Linked DNA regions of Lonchura striata. The protein of the gene in region 2 binds, or shares a complex with, the protein of the main gene of each other region. Links are inferred from orthologs where the notes say so. Each region holds a gene or a part of one and is shown on either strand. Other genes may lie near its edges.

What was found. Proteins that work in one complex are often made in the same cells at the same time.
Region 1: GTF2A1 (region 2) and POLR2L share a complex: the UniProt entries of both Homo sapiens proteins name them as parts of the TBP-based Pol II pre-initiation complex. The link is inferred for Lonchura striata from reciprocal best matches to the Homo sapiens genes GTF2A1 and POLR2L.

The regions. Positions count from the first base shown.
Region 1 is NC_134608.1:44,946,635-44,952,188, reverse strand, and holds POLR2L (DNA-directed RNA polymerases I, II, and III subunit RPABC5), read left to right. Parts: upstream 1-2,045; 5' UTR 2,046-2,120; intron 2,121-2,332; 5' UTR 2,333-2,345; coding exon 2,346-2,440; intron 2,441-5,038; coding exon 5,039-5,147; 3' UTR 5,148-5,510; downstream 5,511-5,554. UniProt on the Homo sapiens protein: DNA-dependent RNA polymerase catalyzes the transcription of DNA into RNA using the four ribonucleoside triphosphates as substrates.
Region 2 is NC_134608.1:20,386,312-20,391,865, forward strand, and holds the start of GTF2A1 (transcription initiation factor IIA subunit 1), read left to right. Parts: upstream 1-2,080; 5' UTR 2,081-2,221; coding exon 2,222-2,251; intron 2,252-5,554. UniProt on the Homo sapiens protein: TFIIA is a component of the transcription machinery of RNA polymerase II and plays an important role in transcriptional activation. TFIIA in a complex with TBP mediates transcriptional activity.

The DNA of each region.
Region 1 (5,554 bases), about 25 Mb from region 2:
CCAGAAAAGACATGACAAAGTTAAAGTAATGGCGTGCAAACAAGCCAAGTACATTTTGCTTTGAAAAAAAAGACGCTAGGCAAAGTGAGATATGTGAACTAGGTCCAAAAGTTTAAGTTCAGTTTTGTTTTTAAGAAATAAGCGAGCACATTTCTACAAGGCAGCTATAAAATGCTAACCTATATCTAATGATGTGGCTCAGCTATGAAGCCGAGCTCCAGCTCCTCTTTCTCACTCTCAATTGCAAATTTCCATCTCTAAACACAAATGCCTTTTACCACACAGTTCAGTAAGAAAATTACTTTGGAGCCCTGGTACTGAAAATGCATCAAAGCACAATCTTCAAATTCTCAACTCCCCACCCCCTCCAGCCCCCGAAAGAAATGAAAGGATAAAAAGGAAAGACACGGTTTTGCTCCCACTGGCCTACAATAACAATAATGATCATAATCTAGAGATCGCAGGAGGTTGATCTACCCTCCATGCCAAGTCAATTCGCTCCATTCACAACTGCGCATAATTATTCCTGAGACTGCAAAAATTACTGTCTTTTCACTAGCAATAGAATTGTAAAAATGCTTTCAACCTCAAGTCCTTATTTATTAAAACAAAACTATTTGCTCTTTTACGGTTCATGTTAGGTCTGGCATTTCTGTGCAGAGGGTCAATAATCCAGTCGTTCAAAAAATAGTCACGAAAGACGTATTAACATAAGCTGTGCATTAAGACACAATTATTTATATGCCTGACATTAATGGCTCTGCGCTGTGCATTGTATCAACTCACAGATACTTTAGCTGGAAAATAACATCACTTTGGGAGAATTTCTGCTCTCCCAAGGACAATTAGCATAACGCTAACGCTGAAACGAGAGAGCAATAAGGATTGACAGAGGAATGCTTCATCCCAGAGCCTCCAGAACAGCGGTGCCCGTCCCCAAACTTTGTACCCATCACAGCACGCTTCCCTCCGCTGAGCACACACAGCCCGTGCCTAATGCTTCCCCAATGCTTAGATTAATGAAAAGCGAGTAAAGCAGTTTCGAGATGCACGATCCTCTGCCGCCAGAGCTGCCCGGCGCGGGTGCCCAGCGGGACCGGCCGCGCTGCCCCGGCCAGCCGCTGCCTGTGCCCCGAGCCGAGAGCTGCCCCCGCTGCGGGCACTGCCGCGGCAGCAGGCGGCACCGGGGCAGCGCGCACCGCTGGGAACCGAGCGGCGCACGGCTCTCAGCAGGGCGAGCAGCACCCCGGGATAACGGGACGGCGCCGCGTCCCGGCTGGCCGCGGAGTTTGGAAACTCTCGGCAACCCCGCAGCCAGCGCAGCGCCCGCAGCTCGGCCGGGGCTCGGGGGCGAGTGCCGTCAGGGAGACAGCGCCTGTCCGGGCTGCGCGGAGCCGCGAGCAGCCCGCAGCGCCGGGAGCGGGCTGTGCCGCCGCCTCCCGCCCGCGGGAGCCGCCGAGCCGCGGGCAAGCAGCCCCGAGCGACGCGGCTCCGCGATGCTGCGCTGACCGGGTCGCGACGCGGCTCCAGCGGCGGGTCCCACCGCCCCCCGTTCCCCTGCCCCGGGGGAGCGAAGGACACGCCGCGCCGGCGGGGCTGCCGCGGGGCGCCCCGGCTCCCCGTCAGCCCTGCCCGCCGGGATGCCCACCCTTCACCCTTCACCCCTCCGCCGGAGCGGGCGGGCGGCTGCCGCGCCGCAGCCACCAGTTGCGCTTCCCGCTGCGGTACCTCAGCCAGGACGGGATGAGAAGTCCGCCCGCTGCCGAAGCCCTCTCGCAATGCAACAAGTGCCCGCCGGGGCGCGGCGGGAGGAGGCGGCGCGGGGGCGGTCGCGGTGCCGCCGCTCAGCGCTCGGGGCGCCCCGGCTGCCACTCACCGCGCCGCGCGCCCGGCGCCGCCGCGAGCCCGCCCCCCCCCGCGCGCGCGCGCGCGCGCGCTCGCTCTCTTGGGCCGCCGGGGACGCCGTACCGCGGGCCGCTACCATCAAGTGCACAAGGGGGGAGTAGGGCCGCTCAACCCGCCCGCCCGCCGCGTCGGGCCGGCCGGCGGCGGCGCGGTTTCCCCCGGCCGGGCGCGGTGGTGGCGGCCGGCGGCCATCGGCAGCGGAGGAGGCGCGCGGGGTGAGCTGCGCGCGGGCCCGGGATCGGGATCGGGATCGGGATCGGGATCGGGATCGGCCGCTCACCTGAGGGAGCCCCCGGGCCCGGGCCCTGCAGCCCAGAGCCGCCGCCGGGCCGTGCGTGGCGGCGCGGGCAGCGCAGCCTCAGCGCGGCGGCGGAGCGCGGTGTCCGGGGCTCCGGCGGGGTCTGAGGCGGGGTTGGTGTCGTTGCAGCCACGGCGCAGAAATGATCATCCCGGTCCGGTGCTTCACGTGCGGCAAGATAGTGGGGAACAAGTGGGAAGCCTACCTTGGCCTCCTGCAGGCGGAGTACACGGAAGGGTGAGTTTGCTCTGTGTTGCTGGACTCGCGGCCTGTGTGAGGTACGCGGTGCATAAGGTCCCAGACGTGCTGCAGATCATCTCCCCCAACCTCCCTGCCAAGGCAGGGCCACAGGCACGAGTGCAGGGTCGCGGCGTCATAAAAGAGACGTAGGGAGGCTAAAAACTACAGGTACATTCTGAGGTTGTATAACCAAAGGTTAGAAATTGCAGTAGGCAACCGAGTACTTATTTCTCCACTGTATCTTTCAGAGCAGCAGTGTGGAAGTTGCTCAGTCTCCAAAATGTTCCCAAATATGTAACTCTGTGCACATTTCCTTGTTTCTTCCCTTCCCCTTTGATATACCCAATTTTGACACCAACGTGATCAGTTTCTTAAAGGGAGAGAAGAAAAAGAAGTGTAAGAAATGTTTAGCGGTTTTAGTTGTTGGGGTTGTTTGTTTTTTTTTTAAGCATTTTAATCCAGGGATGCTAACCTTATTTTTAAGTATTGATTTGCTGGAGAAAGAAGATTTAACCACTTTAGATACCCTACTGATAGTCCTAACAACTCTGTGGTAAGAAGTCTGTGCATCCTTTGCATAGCCAGTTTCTGCTAATAGTTCAAGGAGAGTTTTAACTATCCTGACACTACCTCAGGAGCTTTGAGAATAAAACTTGAGAAATACTTACATTTTCATCAAGTATGAAACAGAAAAAAATACCCATGGATGTTTGCAGCTCAGAGGAGTGAAAGAGAAATTTACGTGATGTTGAAGTAGAAAGTAGATGTTAAGTAGAAAGCAAATAATTTGGTTTGCATTCAAGTGGTTGGGGATCCTAACAGTTTTACAGGTAAGTTTATTTCATATATGGGGTTAAAAGCATTACAATACCATGGGTTGTTTTTTTTTTTTACTCCTACTACAGTTTACCAGGGCTTTTTTGATAGAGCTTCTGACATATATTCTAGGCATTACATTTTAATATTTTCCCTATCTTTATTATTCCTCTGCTTTTGTATAGGAGTTCTGTGTTGTCGTTGACAAATGCTCACTTGAAAGCAATTGTTGTGGTCACTGGCTTGATTCTGGGATGCTTGTTCAAACTAATGCAATTATGGTGTTGTAAGAAGTAGAGTTTACAGAGATCAAACAACTAAAATCTTACAGTGCAGTACTGGAATCACTGGTAATGGTGGCTTAAGAAATGGATGGACAAAATGGGAAAACTTGTCTAAAGAATCAGTAGTTGAAAAAGACATCCACGCCTTTCTGTTTGTCCCTTAAAAGTGCTCTTTTCCACAAGTCCTTGGAAGCTGGAAGAAAAGGCAAATGCAACTAAAGTTGTCTTATGCCTTTGGAAATTGTGATTAATGTTAGTATTTTGCATCCCTGATAACTGCATATGAGACTTCAGAACTCTCCAGATAGCTTTTAAAATTTACCTATCAACAGACATCAGATGCTTTTCTTCTCAAGTGTTTTGGAAAACTGTTACATCATGTGATGTTATTTATAAACATTCTTTAAAATGCCCCACAGTGTTGTTATACTCCTCTAAAACAAGTTTTGCAGGTGCTGTCCTAGAGCGAGCAGCCCTGCTGCACCATCAACAGTTGCAAGGACTGAGTGACATCAGAGAAGCTGCTGGAAGTTGGCTCCTGCAGTTAGCCTGTACTGCTTGAAGCCAAACAACACTTTACCATGGTCCAGCTTAGGCAGAGGCTTCCTTTCAGTCATTTGTATTTTAGAAAAGTATCCATTGGCCTATTCCTACAGGAGAATTATGAGTTCCAGGAAATTAAGTTTGTTTTGAGCAAACGCTTTATTGCACTGCATTATATCAGTATCATCATATAAACCTGAGATCAGTCATGTCTCGCAAATGTCACATTCTGAAGGAGTATCAGACTGGATTTATGGTTCATAGGTTGCAGCTAAAGATCGTGGTGGTATCGTGACCTTTAAGAGTCTGATAGCCACAGCCATGGAAAACACCCACATTGGTTCGGGCTAGGATGACTCAACATCCTCTACCCAAACAGAAGAATCTGGAGCAGTCACTCCAAAGGAATTCAGTGGAATTCAGTAAAACACTGATTTCTGACCAGTCTGCACCTACTTACTTGTATGTATGTGGGGGGCAGGTTGTATAACTGAGTGCCTTCTCCCATGGGAGCTGGAAAGGATTGTAGCCATCCTCAGAATTAACATCCCTATATGGGGGAGGTTGCCTTCCGAGTTATTTTAGTTTCTGTATATCTCACCTTTTTAGTGTGGCTCAGATCTTAAATTTATCTTGTGAAATAGACAAGAATCATCCTCAGTTTACAGAAACATGTTAAAACAGTGCCCTCTGAAAGCAGTGGCAGCTGGGGACCCTTCTCAGCAGCAGATGATGTGCTCTGGCCGGCTGGAGAATGGGCAAACACACTCAACAACACTTAAATGGAAAAGGGCATTAACAGCACATGCTGAATTTCTGTCTGTCTTTGAACTGCAAACAAATTTTCCTCTATGACTGAGCTCAAAGTAATCAGTGTGTTGCTTAGGAAACGCTTACAAGTAGTTCTGACTCACTTCATCTGTTATGTTTTTTAATTGTTGTTCGTTAATAGAGATGCCCTGGATGCCCTTGGCTTGAAGAGATACTGCTGCCGCAGAATGCTCCTCGCCCATGTGGATCTGATTGAGAAGCTTTTGAATTATGCACCCCTGGAGAAATGAGATGGAAAAAGCACTGTGCTGCAAGCCATGTGGAACATATCTCTAATTTAAACTTGAAACTAAACTGGACTTCAGGCAGTAAAGGATGAAAGCCAACTGTAGTGCAACCATCAAGAGATGTTTATCTTCTGGATAAAACACTGCCCCAAGCCACTAACCTCTTTCAAGGAAACAAAGGAATGATGAAGTCCACTTAAACAAGATCTAGAGATTAAAAGTTTGGATGCTGCTTCTTAAATCCGTGTTTGGAGTTGTGAACTTCTAGATACTTCTGCTAGTAAAACCAAATGTTTGTCCAAGTAGAAAAACTATTATATTTCATTAAAATGTTGAAATAAAGGAGGCTTTTGCCTTGTAACCTTCCTACAGTTTCTGGATAAAGTGTATGCTTGGATCTTGTTGGTTAC
Region 2 (5,554 bases):
GGTGAGGTTGGACAGATGAGAATGGTAGAACTTTGTAAATTATACTATTATTTTGGCCAGGGCTTCAGCAATGTGCACAGTGAATAATGACTTAATCAGTGAACCCACTCTAAACCAACCAGTCACGTCCCTATACAAAGCCTGCAGTCCAGCAGGAAAGGTAGTGTGTATTCCTGTAGAAATGAAAGATTTTGAGGAACTGGAGAGGAAGGCCTCCTGTACCCACTATACCCACTAACAAACTCCTCCCCATCAAAAGATACCAGACAGGAGTTCCTGAACTTGTTACTGGGGTTAGCTAATAGAGAGGACTTCAGGCTGAAGGTTATTTAACAAATGTAGTTTACACCACCACAATTGTTGAAGGCATGTAACCTACTACGCCTTGTTTATGCCAAATCAGAATTCAACATTATTTTTCATTTATGCTTGAGTGGACTTCACACAAGTGAGTTATTGATGGAGATCTAAGGGATGAGTGGAGTTCAGAAGTTGTGCTAAGGACTGAGTGAAGGTGGGAGTGGTCAACACAGATGGAACAATACTCAGAGTTAAGAAGATTTTCCCATACGACATACCTCTCATAGGTTACCATAGAGAAAGAGGATAAAAAGGGAATGGAAGAATAAGATAATAAAAAGGGGAGAATGGAAGTTAAGCCAGCTGACAGAGCTCTCACAACCTCTTGCACAGATGGGAGATCCTGTTGCCACTGACTTGACGAAGAACTGTTAAAAGCAGCAACATTGCAGATCAGTAAGCACCTGTGGGCCTTGAGGAGACCCTGAGGAAGGACAGCTGTAAATGCTTAGGTTGTGCTGCCTCCCTCTTCCTGGCCACCTCTAGCCTCAGCTACTAGCCCCAGTGGTAGCACTCTCCTACAACAGTGGCACATAGGCCTGGGCAGCCTTTAATCAACTTCTTGTGAGGGAAAGCACCAGTGCTCACAATGCTGAGCAGGGTTCAGAACCCCTTCCTCGTGGGCCCAGAAGAGCCATTTCTGTCTAGTAGTAATTACTTGCAGTTTTTAATTGCCTTGGAGCAACCTCCTGGGGACCGAGGTGAGGCGTGTTGATTTCTGCAGAGCCTGGCACCAGCTGTCACCCGCAGCTTGGACAGCAGGGCCCGAGCGTGTGAGGGCTGCCAGCTCTTCTCCCAGCACTGTGCCCTGCTGCAGGCACCATAGCCCAGCCCTGGTCAACAGCAGCTGAACACAGTCAGGTGTGCCCTGGTGGCCAAGAAGGCTGATGGCATCTTGGCTTGTATCAGCCATAGTGTGGCCAGCAGGACCAGGGCATTTATCTTCTCCCTCTACTTAGCACTGGTGGGGCTGCACTTTGAATTCTGTGTTCAGTTCTGAGCCTCACTTCAGGGAGGACATCGAGGGGTTGGACCACGTCTAGAGAAAGGGAATGAAGCTGGTGAAGGGTCTGGGACACAAGTCTGATGAGGAGCAGCTGAGAGAGCTGGGGTTGTTGAGCCTGGAGAAAAGGAGGCTCTGGGGGATGTTTTTGCTCTCTATGACCACCTGAAGGAAGGTGGTAGCCAAGTGGAGATTCATCTCTTCTGCCAGGCAACCAGGGACAGGACAGGGGAGGTTGAGGGTGGCCATCAGGGTGAATTTCTTCACATAAAAGTGATTAGACACTGGAATAAGCTGCCCAGAGAGGCGGTGGAAGCATGATCCGTGGAGGTGTTTAAGGACGTGACACTTAGTGCCCTAGTGTAGCTGACACGGGGCTGTTCGGCCATTGGCTGGACTCCACGGTCTCGCAGGACTTCTCCCAACGAAGCGGTTCCGTTTGTCCGTCCCGCGCTCAGGCGGGCGGGGAGAGGCGAAGGCGCTTCCGCCTCGCTGGGGCCCGGCCGCGCCGCCACTTCCGCCTCGGTAGGTGTCATGGCGGCGGGGGCGGGGCGCCCGCGTGACGCCTCGGTCCCGGCGCGGTCTCGCGGCAGCTCTCGCGGTGCTTCGCGCCCCCCCCGCCCGCGTCCCCCGCTCGCCGGCCGCTCGCGCAGCGCTCGGCTCGCGCTATATAAAGGGGCGAGGCGGCAGCGCGGCGGCTGCAGCCCCGGGGCCGCGAGCGAGCCCGGCACAGGCCGCGGGGCCGCCCGTCAGCCGGGGCGGAACGCGCGGGCGCTGGGGGGACGCAGCCGGGCAGGTTTATTGTTTTAGGGGCGACTCCCCCCCCCGCGGTTGGGGGCGTCCCGGGGGGCTCGGGACATGGCGAGCTCGACTAACACAAACCCCGTGGTAAGGACCGGGTCGGGGGGCGAGGGGGGCCCCGGGGGCAGCGCGGGCGGAGGTGGCCGGCGGGGCCCGCCGCCCCCTCCCCCGCACTCCCTTCCCTCCCGCCGCCCGCCTCGGGCGGTCCCGGCCCCCCGGCGGGCAGGGGCGGCGGGGGGCGCCGGGCAGCCTCGCCCCCGCGGCGGCAGCCAACTTGTGGCGCCCGGCGGCGGGGAGAGAGGCGGCGGGAGCGGAGCGGCGGGGGCGCGGGGCGGCGGCCCGGGGGCGGCCCCGCGGGGAGGCCGGGGGTCCGGCGGGGAAGGGAAGGAAGGGCCGCCGGGCGGGGGGCGCCCGCCGCCGGCGGGAGGCGCCCGGGGAAGGGGCGAGAGCCGGAGCAGCGCGGGCGCTAACGCCCGCCCCGAGACGAGGGGAAGGGGCGCCCGAGCCAGCTTTCGGTTCTGCGGCGCTGGGGAAGCCCGCCTGGGCTCCGCTGGAGCCATTTTATGTTGCTTTGTAAGAAGGAGACGATGGTTGAAAAGCACTTATCCCACTCCGGCCGGATCGGCTAAGCCGAGCGAAAGCCCTCAACTCTGGCGAGCGAGGCAGTATTTATTTTAAAAAGAGAGAACGAAGAAAAAAAAAAAAAAAAACCGCAAAAAACCCCAAACCCAAACCTCTCCCCCGTTCCCTTCTCGTGCTTTCTGCACCTTGGCGGGTGGCTCGCTGCTGCACTTGTACTCACAGAGGTTTGCAACAAGCAGTCACACAGACCTGCGCTGCCACCGAGCCCCCCCGGCCGCCGCTCCGCTCCCCGGCGCGCCCCCGGCCGCGACCCCCGCCCCGAAGCGCTGGAGGAGACAAACCCGGCGTCCCGGCGGCGGGCTCGGCCCCCTTGTTTGTGGCTCTCAGATCCATCATGGCTTCCCCCTGCCTTTCTGCCTCCCTGCTCCTTGTGTTCCTCCTCCCTGTGGCTGCCCTGTTTATATAGCGCTATTGCCGCTCTCTAATATAGACTCTGCTAGGATGGGAAGGTGCTTTCCAGCCCCACGTCACCGCCTCTCCATTTAAACACCACATCAGCCTTTAAATAGGGAGCGAGCCGCGGAGCGCGGGCTGGGAGGTGCATGCGGCGGAGGCTGGGAGACGGGCGGCTTGTCCCTCGGATCCCGGCCGGCCTTGCCCATCGCTTTCTCTTCCCTCCGCGCCGCCCGTCCCCGTCGCCACCGGGCTGCGGAGCGGTGGTGCTTTGCGGGTGCGAGGGTGTCTCCTACCCGTGTAAATGAGCTTTCTTTTGCTTCTACGCATTGCACAAAGACGGTTTTCATCTGCTCCTGCATTTGAATCTGTCCTACCCTTTACCTTTTTTTTTTTTATTATTATTTTTTTTTTATTTTGCTTGGTTAATTTTGGGTTTGCTGTGGTTTTTTTTTTTTCGTTTATTTAAGGTTTGGGGTTTTTTGTCCTTGGCGTAGAGCTCGCACACGTTCCTGTGCTCCTGTAAAGTCTTCAAAGTAGCTGTTCTACTGCGTGGGGAAAGGAGTGTTTAAACGGTTCTTACCCAGTGTATCAAGGAGAGTTGTGGTATTTATTTTATGGCGCTTTGCCAAGATCTGACTACAGCTGTCTCCCCAAAAGTGAAGTTAACATTCAAGTTTTATGCGTGGGTCATGGGCTGCAGATGCTGCTCAATGATTTATGTGTGTTTCTGGTGCCTAAAGTGTACAAATATTTTATTGCATTCCAGGCAGAGCAGTGGTTTTGGAATTTTCACTACTTAGTTTCATTACAGTATTTGATATACTACAAAATATACAAAAGAAAATGCAAAGTGTCTTAGTTTTCTTTTCCTAATCTGAAATGTTAAGAGACCTGCTTGTGAGTTAGGTTTATGCAATTGCATAATATCTTTGATTTGATATTTTGTCAGCTTTTGTATCAGAAAATTTTAGGAAAGTAGTCAGCTGTTACACAGAGGGCAGTTACTCAGCAGGATGCACATTGAATGCGTGTGATTTGAATCTTCTTTAGTTTATGATCTTCTGTTTATGAACAGTCCTTCTGTTTATGCACTTATTTATTTGTGTTTTTATTGTAAGGAAAGGTTTTATTTCAGTGTAGTAAACTAGAGGCTTTTCCTCTCTTTCTTGACTGAAGTAGTACTGAATGGCAAAAACAATGCCTGTAAATATTTTTGATTAAGCTATTTACTAAGACTTGCTTTCTTCCGCTGTATTTCTGTGCTGGAAGTTCTTTTGAAAGGTGTCGATGTTTGGAATAGTAAAAGCCAAGTTTAAAATGAGCCTGCTTCAGATAGGTATGCTTTAGGCTAATTTTCAATTAAGCAGTAAAATCGTACAATTTTATTAAGTTTGGTCTCATTTAAGAAATGTATTATTTACGTAAAGGTTGCCAAAGATGAGTAGGAGAAATGCTGCAACTGTGACTTTAGGAAGCTGGACTAGGAGCCTAATGTGTCAATGGCATCACGTCAGCATCTGATCAAATCTGAATTGCTAGAAATCTGTTCTCTGTAATAAAGGACAAATATTAGATGTTAACAGTTATAGGTAGTATATGATTTTATGGGTGATAAAGGTAATATATTTGTAGAAGTCCACAACAATATAAAAAAAGCTAAAATCTTAATGCTTGCAGTGTAGATTATATATGTTACTTTGTTAATGCACATCTTTGGTGTAATTGTGACTAGAAGTAGTTACCTTTACAGTGTGCTCTGCTGGCTGCCTGTGGGCAGCTTACAGTGGTAACTGCACAGCTGGGAGAAAGATCAGCAATGTTTCAGAGAGAGCTGCAGAGGCAACCAGGAACAAACTGTTATCAAATGTACAAAGCATACTGTGGTCTGTCTCTCCTTAATGTCTTGGTTATTGGAAACCAAACTTGCTGAAATCCCAAGTGTTGTGATAATAATTACAGAGGATTGCCGTTTTTGTACCCTTGAAGCAGAAGGAATGTAGGAAGTGTAAGCCCCCAAAGGCATGTGGCATTTCTTAAAATAGCTTGCTGGTTGCTCCTGGATTTGAAGTGTGTGTGTAGCAGTGTCACCATACTCAAGAGTTTTCTTTTCAAGATGCACAGAGAAAGTAAAATATAATCATTCTTTATGTTCCTGGAAGGGGAAATAGCAGATTGCAGATCTCTTCTATGTGTTTGTGGTTGTATCTAATAAATGAGGAATTTTAATTGTTGTCTTTAATCTGTAGTAAGTGCTTGGAATAGTGTTTATTGAAGAGTGATTTGAGTATTTTGCTCTTAAAAGCGCTTGATATTTACAGCAATGTACTCTTTATGAGGGAGGCACTTTAATAT